Linked DNA regions of Drosophila melanogaster. The protein of the gene in region 1 interacts with the protein of each later gene in a pairwise test. Each region holds a gene or a part of one and is shown on either strand. Other genes may lie near its edges.

Region 1 (11,470 bases):
CCAACGCCATTTTGGGCGGCCATCCCATCCTTCTGTCTCTTTCCAATTCCCACAGACCCTCTCCTTCTAGCTCTCTATATCCGTCTCTATCTATCTGTATGTCGCCGTGCCTCGCTGATGATTTAAGTGCACTTTGATGCACATTTTTCGTTGCTACTTGCAACAGAAGCAGCATCAGCAGCTGCCCCAGATAATTTAATTAAATTATACGCTTCCTTACGTGCGTGGGCGAATGGGTAGGAGATGGGGCGGGGCTCGGTGGTCAGGGGTCAGGGAGTAATGGGTTAAGGGGGGGCTCGCATTTTAATAAGGTTTGTTGGTTAGCTAGTTTTGAGGTTGAGCTGAGTGTAGTTTTGGTTTAGTTGCATGCGCCCACACCCAGCCTCTTTTGGCTTTCGGGGCTGCCAGCCATCTGGGTTGGAAAAGCAAAGGAAAGTGGAAAGTGGAAACGAGTAAGCGATGAGAAAGGGGCTCCGGGGGAGTCTGATAACTTAACTTGAATGGCTATTGCACCAATTTTTTATTCAGACATTAAAGCCCAATATGGCATAGAAAGAAGAGTAATTATCATTTATCGAAATGATGGAAATCGATTGGATTCTAAAGGATTGAATTGGCTTTATTTTGGTGCCATTGAAAGTATATCCATATGTATTAGAAGGAATTGGATCGCGGAAGTATCCAGCTTCTTGTTAAAGTCAAGACATATATATATTTCCTATTCGCTATCAGTTTTCCGAATGTAAAAAAATATACCTCACATTTTTTGGCTTTCGGATGGGAAATTAAGTTTGAATTATTTGCATTTGTCTAGCAACAGGAATAAAGCTTCATAAGAACGGAGATGCAAATGCAAACGAAATATTATATATCAACAGTAATGGTATAAATCAAAAGTCCTTGTCATACCACCCTTCACCATAATAGAAATTTATTGCATACTATACTACATTTGGGACTATGCTTTTTTTTCTTTAACAACGTTAAAAACTTGAAGCTAACCGGCTGCGTTAGCAAAAAGTGTTAAAAGTTATTCGTCAACGTCACAACATCGTTGATGATGCCACACACACCGCAACCAGCAGAAGATAGGTAAACAAAAAATAAAATAACTCACAAAAACATATGCCAAAAAAAGTGAACACATTCAGTGTTCATAAAGTCATCATGTTTTCATATTTCAAGACTGCAACCACATTGCTGTTTGCTCATGTTCTTAAAGTGGTAACTGCCCAAAAAAGAAACTCCGCAAAAAGTTTCTGGCCAGCAAAAGGTAAACAAACTCTCACAAATTCCCAGCAAACAAACTTCAACTTGAACACACCCAAAATGTCTTCATTTTCACCTGTTTCCAAATGCTGTGCCTCCTTTTGCTTTCCACATAACGCCTAACACAGTTGCAAATGTGCAGAGACGACAACACGGGCGGCAAAAGAAAAACCTCAGACCCAAACATATTTGCATAAACAGAACCCCACTTTGATGGTTTTGCAGGACGGAGCCAGAACGTCCAGGGTCTTTCAACTATCAAATGCAGTTGGTTCAAAAGCTCCAAATTTTTATGAAATATTTGGTTGCTTTTTTTGCTTTGCTTGGCGAGGAGTTCTTGTCCTCTGGCCTACAGGATATATAACAATGTAATGATTTTATTTGGTAGCGATGATATTTCTAACTTTCGAAGTGGTTTAATAAATGCTACTACCACGCCCGAAAAGAGTGTTCTAAATATGCCTTAAACCATCGCAAACCCCTGGAGTCCTCTCCACATTTCTTGCTGTTGTGCGGCTGTGCTTGGCATCATCAGGTTAGTGTTTAACCTCTGCAGAGTGCTGCAGTCCACTCAAAAAGTCTTTGACTTGCCATTCCACAACCCCTTTTGGCCAACTTGGGCCGGGCAAAAAGGCGAGGCAACCAACCAGTAAACCGAGGCAGCCAGTCAGCCAGAGTTAACCAGTCGCCGTAGTCATCATCATCCTAGCCAGCTTCATAATCTCCAGCATCATAATAGCCGTAGTCGCTGCTCGGCATAGCTTTTAGCCACTCGGCTTGCTCTTTAACGCGTTAACGGGTTAAGTTGCCTTTTGTGACCATGTTTTGTTTTTAGCCATGCCTAAAACAACAAGGGTGCACCACAAAAATACGTTATTGACACCGTATTTTTTCTCACGACTGCAAGTAAAAAAACAAAACAAAACACCTTGTTACTAAATATAAAATCGCAATTTAGGATAACAAAATAGTATATAATACAAAAGTTTAATCGTGTTAATTAGTATCGAAGTTCTATGGCTTACAAGCAAGTTTTTATTTTGACGTGAACAACGGTATTTGGCTCAGTGTACATGGATATAGAAACAGAACACGGACGCTTTATGTGTAATTAGCCACGCCGACTTAGCCATAATCCGTGCGGCCGCCGTGTTAAATGCCTCGTGGACAGATTTTAAAGCCAATTCTGAGGTGACTAAAGCCACCGCAGCGGCAAACCGACAGATTTATGCCATTTTAATCGACTGGGGAAAGCAGGAAAAATGCTGAAACCACGACCTCCAGGAACTTAATTTTTCCGAGCCGCAACAACTGTGGCCACTTCATCTCTTCGACCGCGCATTCATCTCACTTGCAGGCGGAATGAGACCAAAAAAACCAGATGGGGGTTACTGAGTGTCACTAGCTGACAACCCCCCGATGAACATAGGCGTGGTGTCCTGTCTAGGACTTAGCACGACTTCCCCCCGCCGATTTTCCAAGCCACCCATTTCTGTCTGAGACTTGTCTCACTGCCTGCGGTTTTGACCCTCCAATTTAAGCCACGTTCTCCCTAGGAAGGAAGTTTATAGCCTACGAAATCCAAATTATCCAAATAAATCGAATAAGTAATTGTTAACAGTGTACTCTAAATCGTGTAAGGATATATAATAATATTTTAATGTGTTGAATAGAGTAGTAAAGTTTATTCGCTTTGGCATAACATTGTCATATTATTACTGTATTATGTTATTACTTGTGAATATCTAAATAGTATTAAGTTTCGTATCTAAAAGTTTGTTGTATGTAGCTCAGTAAGTCAGTAGGGCTCATAATAACGAGGAAACTTACAAAACTATCCTTGGCTAAGGCTTATGGGACTGGCATTAAAGTAATTCAAGACCATTTCCATCTCTCGGGAGCCAACGACTTATCCTCGGGCAATCATTACTTGCTTAGCACATCACGCGTCTTAAAGGGAAGCGAACCCTATTTTCTGGATTTCATTTCAAAGCATTTTTTCCACGCCCTCTGCGGCATTTTTCTTCCGCAGAACTTTGTCATAATTTTGCAGTGAGGCACGTCGACTTCCACGGACTCGGGACTCCGCACTCCGGACTCCAGCGAGTGCCCGGAATCCTCTGACGCTCGGCCCCGGGCCTCAGCTAGGCTGTCAGCGTGATAACTCCTTTTCGTGTTAAACATTTTCAACTCGCCTTGAGTGCGCGGCTTGTTCGGGTTCCATGGGCTATATGGGTTGTACGGGTTTTACGGGTTGCACGGGTTGTACGGGTTGTATGGGTTATGCAGCAGCTGTCGCCTGTGCGGACGCACACAAACAAGGTCCTGCACTCACACTCATGTGCACTGGAAGAAACTTCTGGGATTTTCTAATCGTTATTCCTTAAAGCGCCGCTGCTTAAGAATATGAGTATGAATCCAAATGTATCATTTTTTATCTGTCTTTACAACTTTCTTTATAGGAACGAAACTCACACTTTTTCTGAGAGAAGTAGAAGTACTTATATATGTTCATAATTAAAAGATGCTTAAATTGTGGTACGAACACCTGACATTTTAGTGGGCTGCTTTGGGGTAAAGCTTGTTTACAGTGCAAAGATGCTTCCCTGTCGACTCTGTCACACTCTGACTGCCGAGCGTCCATTGGATGGAGGGTGGTGGCAGGAGGACTTCGCCGCGTGTCCTGCGAGGCTACGACTCTTTTGGAGTCAACTGCATGTCAGTTTTGTTCGCTCCTCCAGCCTTCGCCTGCTTTTGATTACAATGCTGGTTATGTTCTCACCCTCGGCGAGTGCGAGTGTGTGTGGCAGCGCCGTCCTGCTGGATCCTGCATCCTGGATCCGGGATCCTGGATCCCGGCATCGTTTGCATCTGATAACACGTTAAGTGCGCTTGTTTATCCAGCAAGATAATTTGGACAAGTGTCACCTCTCGGATTTTCACGCGCCGGCTGCAAAATAAAAAGTAACCCCTGCGAAAATGTCGCAACTTTTCTGAAATATGTACGAGTATGCATGCATGCAGGTCGCCAGAAACTAACTAACTAGCTGCAGTTGGGGTTAACTGCCGCTGGATCAGGTGCAAGACCGGGCTGGGAACCTGGCTTTGGTCCTCCTGGACCGGAATTGTCTCATTTTATTTTGCGGTGCCCGCCGTAATTTCGCTTCCAGCCAGCGCTTCGTGGCATATTTTTTGTTTTCCGGCAGAGGGGCGTACGCGTAATTGGTGGTTAGTTTCGGGTTTGTCCGCAGCAAAAGGCAGATGCCACCTGGTGGCACAGTGGGTGCTGGCACTTTAATGTTGGCTTAGGCTGTTGATAAGCTCTGATTTACTCTATTTTAGGGTAGATATCCCTCTCAAAGGGCTTTACTTTAAGCGCTTCTTATGGCATGGAATTATGTATTTTCCTACAGTTGTTCATTATTTAGAGCAACTTTGTCGAATATTTGAACCTAGTATGCAATTGTGCTTCTTAAAAGGCCTTTAATATATATATATATATATCTATATAGCTGCCAAATAATCCCATTACCATTGTGCACCTCCGAATTCTGCTTCTTTATAGCCTGGCCACTAAAATCAGCACAAATCGATGTGTCTTGGAATTTTCGGACATTCCGAACAATCCGAGCTCACCTGACCATCGCAATGCCGTGCCAGAATTAACCCACATTAACCGGAGTCAAGTTGAAATCGGGAACATAATATCCTCGGAAAAACGCGCATGTCCGTCAGAATCCCTGACGCATGCAACATTTTTTGACAGCAATCAGATGTTTTGGAATGTTGGCGCCCAGACACACACACACACACACACACACAGACGCACGGGCAAACGCTCACACCGACGGAGAGAGCTTTGTTTTTGTTAACCTTGCCTAACGACGAATGGCGAAAACAAAACAAAAACGTGGAGAGGCAACAGCAAGAGTCGGAAAAGCGGGAGCACGTGCAGAGCGGAGGAAAATGAAAATCTTGGCTGCGCGTGCGCACAAAATCCGCTGAATGGAAGTGCCAGAGAGGCGAAAGCTTCTTTTTGGCCTGCCTTTCGGGGCGTCCAGGATTCCGAGTTTGTGGCCAACTCATTACGTTCGAATGTCAGTAGTTGAAACAAGGACGCGTTACGTGCAGAATACCCAGCGCGCAGCCAGGGAAAATCGCATAAATCGCCCAGCGCGTTGAGTTAAGCGGATGAAGTTAAAAATTTAATTGAAATACAGCAATGAAAATGCAGGAAAATTCTGCTGCTTAAGTGCTAAAGTGCTTTAGTGCCCCGTGTGTTCTTGTGATTTTTCCCAGAGCAAAATTGTGCCGAATCAGCAGATAGTCGTTACGTATACGCAACGTGTGCGGAGTGTTGTTTTATTGATTGCCCAGCAGCAGAGCCACACTTAAACCACTGGGAAAATGCTGATGAAACAGTGAAGATTTAAAGAGCAGCCTCTCCTCCGAGGCTCGAGCAGTGAAATGCGTGCAGCTGACAGTCAAGGTCGCCGACGCCTCATGTCACCCACAAAAACATAAGGATCTACAGAGCAAAAAACAATTGTAATAAAAGCAAACGAAGCATCTTCGTAGGCAGTTTCCAGTCATCAGCAGCTCATCAACTAAGCGAACTTAAAGTAAGCAAAGTGCCAAGTCAGTCAAAAAGTAAAAGAACAAAAATTGAAAATTCCTTTCCTGCCGCACTTGCAAGGATGGGGCAAAAATTTGGTGTGGAAAGGAGGTAATCCCACCGAGAAAGGCTGCCCTCTTTAGTGTGTGTGCCGCAACTTATCTCCTCGGTTAGACACACATGGATACATTATGTACTCCATATACGATATGGCAGGAGATACATACATATATAGGGGGAACAATCCTTAAGGCGGCTACAAAGAATTGTCTGCAGGCAGCCTCTTGTCGCTGGATTCGTACTTGTACTCTTTCTTTTAGGACTACAAACTGTTGGATTACTTGTGTATTGGTTATTTTCGTGTGCCCCGGCTGACATAGTTTTTGGCTTTGGCTTTTGTCTATTATTTACGGCCTGTGACTGCATTACAGGTAGCCCAGCCAAACGAACTTTGAGACAGGTCAGGACACAGATTTCCGGTCTCGAGTGCTTGAGTAATGAAAATGTGACTACGCCGCTTTGTTTTCGGATCTGTGGCAGGCAAATATTTAATGGAATTGAGTTTGTAACACAAATGAGGACTTTTTGGCAGCGGATGAGCTTGGTACTTTCATTTAAATATTTAAAAGAATTCCATGTTAAGAAAAGTGGATAAACTCCTTCAAAAACTTTCGAATATAAGCACAAAGTCAAAAAATATATCTATATTGGCTTTATTGGAGACGCGGTTGTGGACTTAATTATGTTTAAAAATATGTTAAGCCTGACGTTTAAAAAGTTTATTGGCGTTCCTGTAACCTAATTTAACCAACAACATTATTGTTTTAAAGGTTCAAGTACATTTCAACAGGATTCTGAGAATTATGCTCTTCATAAAACGCAGACCTGCCATTCGTTTGATGAGTAAAAGGTATTTGAAAAGTTATGCTTTAAATGAGTCTCAAAACTTTCTTGCGCTCGTATCTCTCTCTAGTGTCAAGTTAATTTCGCCTTAAAGATTGTTGATGACGACCCATTTGCGATATCTACACTCGCCCCTTTTAACTTTGTCATTCTACGGGTACAAGAAAAAGGAGGCGAATATCAACTCACATCAAGTGGAGGTTCCCGCCCACGTGGCGTATGAGTTATGCATTATGGCTTGCCGCTTCGAGACTTTCCCCAAATATATTTCCATCATCAGAGGCACTTTGTTTGCTCTACGCATTACGACAAATATTTGCCCATCGGACAACATATTCTTGTGTTGTCTTCTGGCGTGTTCTGCCGTATTTTACTCTGCTTTATTTTCTCTGTGTTTTTATACTTGTTTGTTACTTTGGCTTGTGGGCCGTGCGAGAACGAGGTCAGAGCTAAAATCTAAGCCGTAAGCTCTACCCAAAACAGCTGATGTCAGCAGAATATGTGTGCACGTAACGTGTTTTTTGTTTCAGATTCTCCAGAGAAACACACAGAAAAAACGATGTTTAGTATATCAATAGGTGTGGCAGTGAAAATTCCATAGATGGGATTCCAAAAATCGAACTTACTAACAGGAATGCTTGTTGTTAGGCAGCAGAGAAATGTTAAAAACATCAATCATGTTGTATTGAGAAGATTATAAACGTATAGATTAAGGAGTTCAAAAAACTATTTTGGTGAAATTACTGAAAATGGTGGCTGTGCCACATTATCTTTCGTACTTATCAAATCAATTAAAATTATAATAGTTTAAAAACCATTATTATATTAGGATATGGAAATTTACAGATGGAAAAATAATGATAATAATAACCAAAATTCTATTCAAAAATGGTAATTTTTCCTATCCCACATAACTGTAGTAAGTCTATTTGTAATCGCGAGTTACCTTATAAAAATTGTTATATCTGAGAATGTACAGAACAAAGCCATTTAAATATGGAAAACCGACAAAACTGTAATGGAACTTAGTGATAATTTTTCCGAGTGTTAGGCAGACCTCCAAGTTGATGAGCAGTGGGTTTGGGCTTGGAGGTGGCGCCCCAACAGCCACTCGACCATGGCCGAGAGCGGTGTCAAAGACTTTTTGCGGACTTTGATTTATCTGCAGTGCAGCCCGCAGGCGACTGCTGCACCCACACATTCACACTCATGGACTAGTTGTGAGTTCTGGCATAAATTAAGTGTTTATTTTGGCTTGAGCTGGGATATCGTTACATTTTATGCATGCCAAACTTCCTCGGCTGGTCATCATAAATTTATTCTGTGTAGCCTGCTCTTAGGCGCTACTTGCAGTGCTCGCTTGTGTGGGTGGCGAAACGAAAGTGTGCCAAATCGGAAACGGAAATGATCGGAATTGAGGAAAGTACTCCCTTCGATTTTATTTGGCATGTATCATTGCCGATATATAACAAGAGGCGTCCATTTTACTATTTAAATTCCGAAGTAAAATTTATTGACTTATAAAAATGTAAAAAAGTACAGGCTTTAACTTGAATAAACAATTCAATTCAATTCAATTCAGCTGATCACTTATATGAGCACATAAGCCTATACATAATAATCAAGCTAGAAGAATTATTTGTTTTACTTATATTCGAAATAGAGAGGCAACTCGGCAACTAAAATGACTAATAAACATTGGTTTTGCCACTTGGCCGCACACACAAGATTCATGTTATTTATATAAGCTTCTTCCATTTTTAAAGCTAATGCCGTATGCACATTTCAATCTCGGACCGGAAAATAGAGAGAGAGAGGTGAAAGGTGGCGGGGAGAATAGGAAACTCTCGCTGATTTATGTGCTAGTTTTCCTGGCGATTTCTCGCTTTTTTCTGCGCTTTCCATTTTCGCTTTGGCCCCCTCTAACTAGTTTTTGAGAGTTGTGCACCAGCTTTTTACTCCAATTAAATTTTCATGCCATATGAGCATTTCGCACAGCAACTGGGACAACAACAAGGACGAGAGCTCACACAACGAGACGCTATTTTCAATTTCCGCTGCACAGAAGTACAGAAAGGAATGCGATTTTTAACACAATTTCACTTTGCCGGGCGAACAACAGGCTGCGAGTGTGCCACTGTGTGAGTACTTGGCATAGAAAACGTTGACGACTAAAAACAACAGGCCAGACCCCATCGAAAGCTGGCTTCCCATGCCCATTGCCACCCATTGCCACCCATTGCCACCCATTACCACCCATTCCCACCCATTCCCGACCAATTCCATCCGACTCAAAACCCGACGACCCGACACATCGACCCAGAAAACCCTTCGCCTCACTCACCGACTGACAGTTCAAGTCAAAATGCCCTTTTATTGAGATTTAAGCATTTTTGGGTCATTTCCGAATTGTGTTTGCGCAACAGAGATAGACGCTGGCGGAGCGTGAGGGCACGGCCGGCGTTTAAATATTAAAAACCTTGTAACGAAACTACTAGGAAGCCCGGAAAATCAATAACCAACAGCGGCCAGAGTTGAAGGCTAAACGTGGCGCTACAAAAATAAAAGGCATCGGACGAGCCAGTGGAAAAAAAAACATTAAGCCAACAACCAAAATGGGCATTTTGCATGCATAGATACATGAGATCTGCGAAGGATGGCCGCACATGATGAAAAAGGATACACATGGCTGCGAAAAAATGAAACAACGAAGGGGAATGAAAATGGAAAAGTTGTTAAAACGCTTGTTTTATTGGCATTTAGCCTCAGCTTGTTTGAGAACACAATATAACACGATATTGTAATGTAAATAGTTGAGCCAACAGTGTTTTTTCAACCGTACTTTTCAGCTGTAAAGTAGGGATTTTCCCGCAAGTACACAAGCGATTCAATGGGCTTTTAAGTTGCAGTGGAATTTTACACAGAATAATTGTCGCTGGGCGAATTATGAAAACAAGCTTATCGAGTTTTTATAAGGGCTATTTGTAATGAATGCCTGATTTTAATGTTTCCCAATGGCAGCACAAATCTATGGCTAATACTTAACATTTAACAAACGTCATATGTAGAATATTATTATATATTTTATGTAAGTTACAAATAATGTGAATACTCCACATTAGCCCCGAATTCCGCTTGGAACATCAATCAAATTAAAGTATCAGGCATATGTAGCACATCGCTATCCAAATGCGGAACCGGGATCCATTTGCTGGTGGATATATCAAATGTAAATTACCATAATGTGACCGACATTTTATTCGGGGCTTCCGTGAGCATCGTACTTTCACTTTGACTTTTAGCAAAGCGCTGCTATTTTATATGCCACCACCCCACTCCCCTTCCGTGCAAAACCCTTCTTTGGGCCATTTCGGCTGCTCTTGGCCCTTTCGCGTGTGTGAGTTTAATATATCGCGCCTTATAATGTACGTACTGCTGGTTGCTGTTTGCTCTTTGCCTTGCATGCTGAAAATGGAACTCGGAACTCTCGGCGTAAAAACAAATTACATGTAGGTTAGCCCCCGTTTTCCACCATCCACCACCTCTTTTTTTTTTTGAGCCATTTTGCAGTCGCTTCAAGGCCACAATAGCGGTCAGGCCGTAGTCGGTCAAAGTTGGTAGCTGTTTGGGTTTGGCTCTGCAATTATATTGTACTGTGTTCCTTTTCTTTTCTTTCCTTTTTTTTTTTGGTGGGGCCAACTCTCGGCTCTAATGAAAAATGTTCGCAGGCAGAGCGGGCGCTTTTCATGTTTTCATAAATAATTAAATTTCTCGTTCTGTTTGGCCTTTGTGCGCGGCGGGAGCGGAATAAAAAATGAAATTGAAACGGGCCCAGGGTCGCCACTAATTAGGAGCGTGTTTCGCTGGACTCGGCTTCGCTCCCAGAACGGATGCATTAAATTTGCAGGGAAAGGAGGGGAAAGTTCGAGGGTCTCCATTCAAGTGGCTTCTTGTCAAGTTGCTGTTGCCAATTATGCAAAGTTTTCGGAGCCAACTTGACGTGGCCAATTGCAAACTGAAGCACTTGGACTGGCTTTTCAACTGCTGCTGTATTTGTTTTCGATACTGCGCCCAATGGTCATTTGGCAAGTTATGACAGAAAGTAAAGTAAAATGGTTGTCTAAAAAATATTGTTAGAACATTTTACCAAATGCAGCAATCATGGTTCACAAATTGAATTTTTTAATACACTTTTCGGTGCACAAAATAGACCAATAGTTTAGTGGATCAGATTGTATGCTGCATAAATATCACTCAAAGTTTAGGACATTTTATTTGGATAATGAATGGCTTTATGGGAAAGAAATAGAAACCAATTATTTATCTAAACGGTCGATGATTATATCTAATCCTTATAAGATTTTTTGTTTGATAAATTATGCCTGAAAATGTACTAATTTCCTTGTATACATATAAATGAACATCATAATAAAACGATTCGGGATTAAGGCTATTTACAATTTGCTTGATTTTTTTAGATGTCTTTCACATATCACTATTCTTTAAGTTTAATGCGAAAATCAGAGTTTAATCCAGACAGCCTGAATAGTTTACTGATTGAAGTGGCTACAAATTTCGCCACATGGCATTTTTGTTTGCCAGCCAACTTCTCACATTGTCAGCTTGGCCACAATTACCCAAGGCAACTGAACAATCTGTAAGGGAATATATAAAACTTTGTCC
Region 2 (11,210 bases), 7.3 Mb from region 1:
GATTTAACTTACTTTCTTACTGCTTTTAGAGTATGCAATTTCCTTGATTAATGAACTTGTTCAGCGCAATTAAAGGAAGTTCGCAGTTGTGTTTAAACTTAAAGCGGAAATAGGAGCAATTACGCAATTAGATTATTGACTAGAGGCAATTATAAGGCCTCTATTTTCAGTGTTTACTGTATATAGCATCATTACTTGTAAATTTACCATTTTTCTAATGCCAATATCCGGGTGTTAAGAGAACGTTACGCCCACATGGCACGAATCCAAAAGATAATACATTATTGAAGTTCCATAAAGTAATCCACTTTATATGGGCAACCATTACTTGAGATTACAAAGACAAATATTTATATATGCTCTATGCTTTCATAGAGTGATTGCCTCATTCGGCACTTGAGATCGTTTAATTCGCACTTAAAAAGATACGCAAATTTCGAGCTAATTTTCAATTGTACGACTGTCAGTTTTGGGGCGAAAAGCTGAAGTGAGACCATTAAGACGACGCGACACTTGCAGTTTTATACACTTAAACATAAGTACAATAAACACATATTGCACATAGGCCTTAATTTGACAACTGAGAGGCATGAAATGACACCAGAGACCAGACCAGGCCGCTCATTAATCTGTCTAAATAAAGAACGTTCCGAGCGAAATCAAGCGAACATTTTGTGTTCATTTCGAAGTCGGAGCAAAAGTTGTAAATTGATTTGCCACCAAATATGGCAGACAGCTCGCTCTAAATTTTTTGGTTATTTATAAATTCGCCAAAAGCAGCAGCGAGCATTAAACAAACGCATAAAAATCATTCATGGATCATTTTGTGTAATAAATCTAGGCGAAATATTTCCATTTTTAGGAGGGGGAGTTCCAACATTTCGGTGCTCCAAAGTTTTTCATTTTGGTTCGCAGCATGATCGGAATATATAATTTTCGAACTGAGATCATTAGGAGCCACAGCAGGTGGAATTCATCGAATTGAATGTTTTCATAAATTACCAATGCTAAAGCGAAACATTTGCATAGGGCAACCCCCTGCGCCAATATTTTCAAAATCATCTTGCTACCATCCAGTAGGAATTGTGTTAAAACTTATTAATTTTCTTTGGTCAAAAGCGTTACACACAAGGGTTATAATAAATTTGTTTTATTGCAATAAATCGAGCGCTAAATGAAATCACGGCTTAAGCTATTTAATATGGAAATTGTTGTTTTGTTTAAGATTAAAAAGGGTATTCTACTTAATAAATGACTTAATATATGTTTTTTAACAAAATGATTATTAAAAAAATGTGTAATAAATATTAGGAAATGATATTAATATTATTATTATTAATATATAAAAGTTATGTCAAATGATATATCGGAATTCCCCTAATAAAAGCTTTTTCAACGTTATTTATTCGCTTAATTTACAAGTTAAGCGACCAAAAAAAATCACAAATTAATGACTGAGCTTTTAAGATGGTTATTTCGATCACTCCGGCTGTGGCTCATTACCATATTGGCTTTATTTATTTATTTTCGACACATTATTTGTATGGATTTGAAATATTTACACAATTCCCAAAATGAAATATGTAACTCGAATTCAAATCAAACAGTTTCCAAAGATGCCGCCATCGGTTGAACTCGAATTGGAATATTTGGATGACCCTAGCTTATCGCCTCGTGCGATGTCATAAATTTTGTGAAAAATATAGTTTGGCTTGAGCTTGAACCCTATATTTGTAATAGTTTTCGACTGCAGATAAGCTGATTTAATTTTCAATTCCAATTCCTGAGGGTCGCGCAATTGAATCGTATTTTTTTGATTGTGCCAGAATTTATGTTCTGGCCTCTAATATTTAATGGCATTTTCTTGGTGGCTAATAAAACAGATTTCCACTTTATTTTATCGCTTTCTGTCCGTCGTGGAAAGTTGCTTAGCATACTCGTTTTTCGATTTTTCATCTTTCACTGCCTCGCCCCATGACAATTTTTAATCACCCCAAAATTAACCGTGCAACACCAACGCATTTTAATTGTTCGCCAACGAGGCACAATTTATGACTCGCCTTGTGTCCCCAATAAAATTCAAATCGAATCGATTGGGAATGAAAATCGAAATGCACTCGCACTTTGATTCGAATCCCCCTTCATTGGATTCAATTCTATTTTAAGGTCTTTTCAATTTGCATGCCCAATCGATGATCATCAGCCAATTTGATTGGTCCAGACAGACACATTCGCATTTGGACTATATATTTTCCAGTTCTCGGTTTCAGTTTTTTTTTTTTATGAATTTATGGGCCGGCAGTTGCATTTTATTGCTGGAAAGTGTAGATTTCGTGTGGAGCATTTTATTTATTTTCGCTTTCCCAAACTGGCAACAAAGATTTTCATTTACTTATGATTGGATCTTGAAACGGATCAGATTACGCGAAATATTTAATAAATTGATTGTATGTTCGTAAACAATGATATTTTTTATTTCGTGATTCTGTCGTTGAAAATTCTGTTAACAATTGAGTAATTCATAAATATGTTGCGACCACAATTTATTTAAGGGATTTTGAACCACAAAATAAAAACATATTATTCGGGAGCAAACAACATAGAACAGCCTACATACACAGTTAAAAATTCTCGATTGATATGTTATATATTAAAATTAATAAAGGGTAAATGGTATGCATAAATCAAATATAATATATACAACAGAATTGAAATATATTTTTAATAAATGTATCTCATTTTATTCCAGTAACTTAGCCATTTTCTCAGTGATATTAGATATCAGCTCACCCCTTATCTTCTGTCAAAGCCGTAATAATTCACTTTTGGTTCAAACAAATGACAAATGCAAATATTGACAAACGACCCAACTGAATCAACTGACTGTCAATCTCCCCCAAAACGAAAACCCTCCCTATCTGTGCACAAAATGCAGCTAAATGAAACCCTTTGTGGGTTAATAACAATATTGACAGGTGAAAACCATTAAACCCTCTGCCGGAAGAGGAAGTCGACCGCTCTAAGGATATGCCCTCGATAAGGACGCTTCCCTTTCTCCAAAATTTGGACCCAAGTGATTTACGGTAGCCAGGCCAGCAAAGATAGCCAAGATCTTTCCATATTAACAAAAGAAGATATAACTACTAGACCTACCTGACGGAACCAGCCGATGCCACATTAACATTACAATTGTCGGTCGGAAAGTTAAGCCGTAAATTATCGGGGTTCTCGGGGAAGTGGTTTCGTCTATCGGTATCACTACCAACAAAATTAGCATATTTGGCCACTGTGTCTTTTCGGCCAAGACAAGAAACGCAGGCCGCGTCGACAATGGTTTAGGTAGCCGTAAATTGTCATGGGCTGGCAATGTTTTGGGCCTATGCTAATGTCGATCGTTGTCTGCCCACACTCAACTTTAACTCCCGGATCGAATTGAAACGGATTGGACGGATGGCATCGGTCCTCATGTTTGTGTATCCCTTGGGTTCGTGCTGTGGCATAAACAAAATCCGAGGATCGTGTTGCAGTTGCATTCAAGTTGAGGTTACTGCACCTTCGGGACGGTCCATTTGATGGTTTCGTATTTGTTCTCAGCGACCAGCTGTGTTTTCACACTTACTCTGGGAGTCAAGGCTGACAAAGATCTGAATAGTACAGCCTGGGATGTCTGCAGTAAAAGGAAAACCTTGGAAGGAACACTAAAAAAATAGAACAAAGCCCCACCAGGTGAATGAGCAAAACTAATCCCGTGAAAATGCGTCATATCTGTTGTTGTTCCTTAAATAAGAACTTTATGGTGTTGGACTTGAGATGAGTGATTCAGGTACTGTAAACTGTTGTACAAAGCATTAAAACACCGTTTATACTTCATTATGATAAAGAAATAATTAAATAAGTGATAAATCATTCCTTTTGTATCAAAAATATACTATACTATCTATCTGTATAGAATGAGAAAATCTATTAAATCATTTGTTTTGGCGCCATTTCTATGATTTGCTAATCGAGTATCTTTGCTGATGGGCAAAAACGTCGCAAGGCGGAAAAGATAGGATCTGTTGATCCCTCGTCTGGAGGAATATATCACGTGTCCTCGAACCGCGACGTCGGCAATACTAATGTCAATTTGTCAGGCTACCAAATCGAAGCACAGCAAGTGCCCGTCCCACCCTCCAAGTGGCTTCTCTATACCTCTTCGCGGAGCTGCACATCCCGATCCCGATCCCGGAGATTCAGATTCTGATTCTGAAGAGTCGTTCTCGTTGTCGTTGTCGCATGATATATGAGCGCCCTGCCCAGTTGCTGCTTCGGCTGCCGTAGCCGCGCCTCTTAACTCCCAAGCAGACACTGAGAGAAATTCGTACTTACTTTTGTGGGATGACTTGAAAAATAAATTTGGATTGCTATTACTATCTAAGAGACTTGCCCTTAAATTATTCGATTTAACAAACAGTTCAGTTAAAATAATAAATTACAAAGATGAAAATAAGGTCTTTTAATTATTTTATTATTATTTTTTATTTTTATTTTTACAGTTGAATTATATTATATATAGTTTTTAATTCATTGGATTATTTCATAGGTAAGGACCTCAAAACTATGCTACACTTCTGTGTACTTATAAATTTTATGAATTAAGGCTTGAAAAGTCTTTAACATTTAAGATACTAGCAGAAAATCATTAAAAACGAATACACATAATTCTGAAAAATATTTCTTGAATAAATTATGTAAAATATATTTTCGTTTTTAAATTTTGAATCAAAGGAAAGCGAATTTTAAATATTTTTTTCCTTGTTGTATTGCACATTTTTTCCGAGTGCATTCTTCAAGCCGAAATTGAGCCGGTTATCTTCGTCGGCGTTTTAGCCTGTTCTCTCTTGTTTGCCTCGGCGTTTTTTTTTTGTTTTGCGTTCGTGCTTCGTTTTCACGTTTTTGTTTTCGTTCCATTCGCTTCTCTGTCTCACTCTCTTCTCTCTCTATCGACTGACTATGGATCCGAATCCGAATCCATGGTGGGTTCAGTTTCTTGCGACTCTTTGCGCGGTCAACTTCGCCGATCGGTCGGGCATGCGCGTCCGTATAACTCGTATCTGAATAATCATAAGAGTAGGAAATCGAGGCAGAAGTAAAAACCCGTCTCGCTATATTCGTCGACCGTGTTGTTGGTGTCTATCTGTGTCTTTTGTCAATGTTTTTAACCCAACTCCACTTGAGGGGGAGCCAATCCGCCTTTCTTCTGAAAATTTCTTTCAAATAATACGAAAATCGTATGGAAAATTGAAAAATTGTGAGTGTTGTGTGCAAAGTGAACCACGGTGATCGTAGTTACGGTCAGATCATCTGAAGAATCAGAAACACGCGCCTTGCTCGATTCCCCTGCTTATCAGGCACATGCCTATATTATACAATTTACCAACAGTCTTTTACAATCTGTTCGCCGCAAAAGTTGAATGGAATAAATTTTAGTCTTTTATTTTGCACGAAACGTGACACTAAATGAAGTAAGTTTCGACTATCTCATCTGTATAATCGACGTTTTTTGCTGTTTACAATTTTTGTAATATTTTTTGAGGAAGTGTAAAGTGCTGCAACAAAAACTTATTACTAATCTTCAGGACAGATTAAGGGGTTTCTGTTAAATAGTGAAACATAATTCAAAATGAAATATAATTTAAACTTATTTAAAAGCTAGTGTTTAAGGAATTATTGAAGACAATTTTAATTTAAAAAATTTAAGAACTGTTATTTCTGAGTTGAAAAGAGGATAAATAACATTTAAGAAGAAATTGAGTTAGCGTTTGTTGAACGTCGATAATTAGTTAAAAATGTATGAAAAACTATATTATATCCACAACACACATTACAACTTCATTTCTTTTCTTTTTGCAGCATGTTAATACTGAAACTTCCCAAAATGTTTAGCCAACTGTGGCTTCTTCTGATTCTATCGCTCTTAACCCTAGAAGGCCCACAGCCTTCGACGGGCAGTGGTTATACGACAAAATCAAGTGTGGATTTGCTGGAAAACGATTCGCGATACATCTCATATCAAGGTGAGTTCTCGAGGTGGGCGGATTATCAAAAATTACTCGAAACTGTGTCAATTGCACGGCAATCAATCAAGTTGGCCACTTGAAGCGGTGGAACTGTAAATTGGGTTGATGTCTGTCAAAGTTCTAAGTGATTCCGAGAGTCTGCTGCAATCGATTGCACAAATGTTCGGTTCGATCGAACAGGTGCCATTTCGAATACAACGAATACACCCATCTGCCCAACTGTTTGTATTTGCACGGAATGTCAACAATGATCTCGATTTAACCGAGTTCCCCAACAAACCGCTTTTATGACACCCCAATACATTCGTGTATCTGCTGCTTTTAATCAGAAAAAGTTTCGCATTTTGTTAAAATATTTGTTCTTTTTTTGTGATTTTTGCACTGAAATGTATCTCGAAGTCCGTCTTAAAATGCGAACTCAGCCCAACGTTGTGTTGACAATGATTTTAATTTTTGTTTAGCGCTTTTTTATTTTATTTCGCACTTAAATATTGAAAAGTATATGTTTTACCAATGAATCAGTGAATCTTTTAAAAACCTTGAAAAATATGGGTTAAATAAAATTGAGCTTAATTGTGCCAAGATGCCAAAATGTTTTAATAAATTTGCAATATAATTGCTGAGATAATAATTGCTTATATAATAATTGCTAATATAATTGCTAATAAAACTTCAATTAAATTGCTTAGTATTTGTTTTTACGATTTTGTGCAATCTTTTTCTTACAAAAATGTTTTTATTTTCTTAACAGATTTAATGTCGACGGCCAAACGATTTTACGATCCCGAAACGACCTGGTATTCGGAAATGCTATTCGACGTGGCCAGGAACCAAGTGATTGTCGGCGCCAGGTAAAAACCGGGAGGCTATTGTTATTAGTTATTATAGATTTTGTTTCCGGCCAATTGAGTCACGGCTAAGCCGTGTACCTAGTCATTATGACTGTTTTTATTTTTCCTGTTGCGTCAAAACCCCAAAGATATGTACTGTTTGAAGGACTTGCTTTTTAATTAGTCTCACCGATAAGTGGGTCATTATTTTGGGCATTGATAGCGATAAGAAATGAAAAGGGAAAACACCCCCGAAAATAAATCGTCACTTAAGCATTTGTTAACTTTGGGTTATCAGCAGAGAGGCATTACGTAAAATTCGACGATCAGAAGAAAATAAACAGATGCATTGCGTACGTAAAACGGGTACTGATTATATTCGTCTTCTGTGTTTTTTTAGCGTATTACGCAAGTTACAAAAAAATACACAAAAGTGTATAAAAATGAAAGTGCACGCACTGGTATACCAAAGATTTTTTACATATCAACCAAGATCGACCAAAAACAAAAAAAACCCCTCGTCGAGAACTTATCTCAAGTACCTGCTGTGCGCAAGTGAATAAATAAAGATAATTGAGTGTAAAAAAAAGAATAAAAAAATTAAGAAAAGAGGGAAAGGGAACAAAACCGAAAAGGTAACCAAATAATAATATTGCAGCGCCGAGGGAGAAGTGGTATACTCCGTTTATTTGTTGAGCAATTTAATATACGCGTTTCGAGATACAAAAGTATCTGTCGCTTTAGCCGGGTTACTCGGTTCTTGTAGTTTACTTTTCATTTACGCGTCTTGAAGTTTGTTTGTTTCTGCTTCGCATAGATATGGATGCGATACTACTCCACCTCTGTCGGAAAAAAAAACACGATAAGATACACACATGGACGCATGTGTCTATAGTGTCGTCATGTTGATAAACCCACCTTAACCCATTGCTGCCCGGGAAGGGAAGTCGTTTATCATGTTCCCTTGTCGTCAATCATTTGTCATACTTTTCAGTTTCAGTTTTAGTTGCCTTTTCTATTCTTTATTGCCTACGATTTTCACTTCGACCATAACTCCACTCTGCCATATTTTTTGTTGCTCTCTTATTTACCAACCTCTGAATTATGGCATAATGATAAGAGCCCGATATTAAAAAAAAAAAAAAAGAAAACCGTTTGTAGCGAAGGGCAGTTGCTCCATATAGAGGGAATTATGGTGCTGCCTGTAAGTAGGCGGCCAGATAGGCAAGTGGGCTTTATTAACCACATAAAACGTAATTTATTTTTATAATGTGTGGGCTTAGTTGATAGAGCCAACTAAGCAAAGGGACTAGACGGGTTTTTAGATAGCACCAGCCTCTGGGATTTCTTTTAACTTTTTGCCTTGAGACTGTGCTCAATACTTTGAGCTGCTTCGATGAGAGATAAACTTTTATTTTGTGAAAGTTGAGGAGGTCTTGATTAGATATATAGGTTAAAGACTTTACTTCGATTGACACAAGTCTTACTTAGTGACTGCTATGAATCAGTAATGTTTGCTTACATTTTTGCAAAGAAATATCAAGTAGTCTGAACTTTATGAAGTAAATATTGTAACTACCTTTTTGTTATTCAATTTTTGGAATATACACTATGGATCATTACAATCTCAAATCAAAATCAACTGAAGATTGCACGTAGCGATTTAATTTGGTACGAGATAAGTGCCACCACTTTTGGTGCACTACCAATTTCAGTCCTAATCTCTAGTAAACCACCTGAGGTTAACTATCATTCTTGTTAAAGCAGTTTCGATAAGGCTTCCTTCGAATAAAATAGAAGTATGGTGCTCGCTTTGAAGACCCGCAAAAGTCGAAACCCACCGAATGACCCTCGAAGTAAACCCCCAACGTAAACCATCTCTAATCGCAGACCGCATTTTAATTGTGGCAATCCGGCCGATCACATCAAAACTACACAGTCGAACAATAGTTTTTATGATTTCTGTGGTTTAGATGGGCAATTGCCAATGAACTGGTAGTGGTACTATGCACATACTACATAGTATCTGTAAATGTATCTGTATCTGTGCGGTGTATTTGCTGTGCAGATGTGCTGGTGAGTGCATGCTCCTTGTATCTGGACTGCAGCACACTTGACACGACTGCAAGATCGGATTACTGCCAGCCGCCTGTTGACGGGCTCGGCTCTGGAAAATGGGAATGGAATCGAGAGTGGTGGAATGGGCATGGAATCGGGACTGGAATGGGCATGGATATGGGACTCCTTCAGTCTTTTGCCCGTGTTCCATGACGAGTGACGAGGCAACTTGCTCGGTTGGTAACCGTCGCGTAATTTTCTGTCATGAACAGGAAAATGGAGCGGCATGTTGGTACACTGAGAGAAATTAGCTACTTAGGTTTCAAAAAATTTTATTATTGAGACAAATTATATTTTCTTTTTAATACTTAGCTCGAATTAATGTTCACTGGCATGTTGTTTTCAAATTATTATAAAAGTCTTTCTTGTACATCGCAGTGCATTTGGCTCGCAGTGTCCCATGCAACTGGCCGAAATTTGATATAGACTGCATTAAAATAATATTGCTTTTTGTTTTCGCTTTCGTTCGCTTGCCTTCGAGCCTTTTTTTTTGTGTGAGTTCAGTTCCTACATTACCAGTACATTATTTTCATATGTAGGTATTATTTTTCGGAGGGGTCGCATAAGCGTTGTATTTTATGTTGTGGCCTGTCGCAAATGGAGCATGCAAATGACCTGCTGGGAACCATTTCAAATGTTTATACATATGGCCAAACAAAATGTTATATAAACAAGGAAATTATTTTCGTGTGTTGTGCATTACCCGTAATATTGTTTTTCCACTCGAAAATCTTGGAGTGGACAATGCCACGTCAGGGATTTTATTTCAATGGGAGCGCAGTGTCTGACTGTACAATATTAAATATGTTTTTCTCATAGCAATCCAGCTTAAACTAAACATTTGTGTAATAAATCATTATGGTTGTTGGCTAGGAACCACCCAAACTGCCCAAATTACTTGAAACTCAATCTCTGAACTACAAGATACAAAAATGCACCTGTGACAGTCGCGTCAACTCGACGGCTACTGGAGCACACGGATGCCGAAATTGAAATCCAAATTAATCAAACCGTGTTGCACCAGAAACCCGGCACCCCCCTCGCAAACAGGGGCGTTTGCAAAAGGAGAGGGGGGTGGGGTCAGGGCGTTTTGCGAACTGTTGGCAAGCATTTTGCATATTTCTATTAAAAACCCCTTGAGTGGCTCCAGACTGACACAAAGCTATTCGAACGCGGATTGATATTGAGAGCCTGGAATGCGGTAGCGTAGGCAGAGCTCATAAAAGTGGCACAGTCATAACTGCCTATGAAGAAACATGCTGAGCAAGTTAAACATTTCAGTTCCTAGCTTACAAGTTTACCCAAGAGAATGTATTATAAATCCAGATTATGACTTTAGCTATAAGAAAGCTACAAGCTGGACTTTTACTCATTTTGGAATTACTATTTACTACCTAGATTTACCCTTTAATAACACAGTTAAATGTCGAATCAAATTTTCCTTTAGTCAAGTGAAAAATTCGCTTTTCGAAGCTTGCCTGTAAATGCTGCAGTTTCAGCCGAGATTAGTGGCGGCCAGTGCGACGGCAATTTTAATTACAAGTAACCCATTTAAGCCCGGCCAGAGCGTGATTTGCCGCCAGTGGAGCGGCGGACAGGACGCCCACGCACCTGGCGCACCGGCGGCCACTTGGCCAACATGGTGGCATGGTGCTATATAGTATAGTTAGTACCTGGCCAAATCCAAATGACTGGCAATAGGCGACAGGCGGCGACACCGCATTTTTAATAGCCCCAGTCTCGGTCGCAGTCTCAGATCGAAAGAGAGTCGAATACTCGTATGTATCCGTATCTGGTATCTGGTATCTATGGGGCCGCAACTTCAACTCCAACTCCAAACTCCACTTGCTCCACTGCGCTTACAAAGAGGCCTTTTTGTTATCTTGTCGCGCTTGTCGTTCAAATAAAAGTTGACGGCGGCGCAAGGTGTGCGAAATAAGCGAATTGCGAATGCTCAGGGGTGCACACACACTCGACCATATCGATACGAAAATACTTCCAGATACAGATACATTACATGTAGATCATTTTTGTGGTCTGTTGTGCGGATAAGTGGGTGGTGTGGTGCAAATGGGTCATGGCGAGTTTAACAGCGTTACGGTTTACCCAATTTTTATGGGTTTTTTTTTTAAATATTTATATTTTATTTCTTTTCGCCCGAGTATTGCACAAGTTTAAGCTGCACAGCTGGCATGATTTTATT

What was found.
Region 2: the proteins of CG32206 (region 1) and Sema5c interact in a two-hybrid assay, tested with the Drosophila melanogaster proteins (one large-scale study listed by BioGRID).

What each region holds. Positions count from the first base shown.
Region 1 is NT_037436.4:19,406,795-19,418,264, reverse strand, and holds the start of CG32206 (uncharacterized protein), read left to right. Parts: upstream 1-5,352; 5' UTR 5,353-5,891; intron 5,892-11,470.
Region 2 is NT_037436.4:12,075,641-12,086,850, reverse strand, and holds the start of Sema5c (semaphorin 5c), read left to right. Parts: upstream 1-5,020; 5' UTR 5,021-5,499; coding exon 5,500-5,504; intron 5,505-5,892; coding exon 5,893-6,056; intron 6,057-6,810; coding exon 6,811-6,910; intron 6,911-11,210. UniProt on the Drosophila melanogaster protein: Regulates the motility of migrating epithelial cells by providing guidance cues within the migratory environment and may also play a role in development of the olfactory system. May act as a positive axonal guidance cue.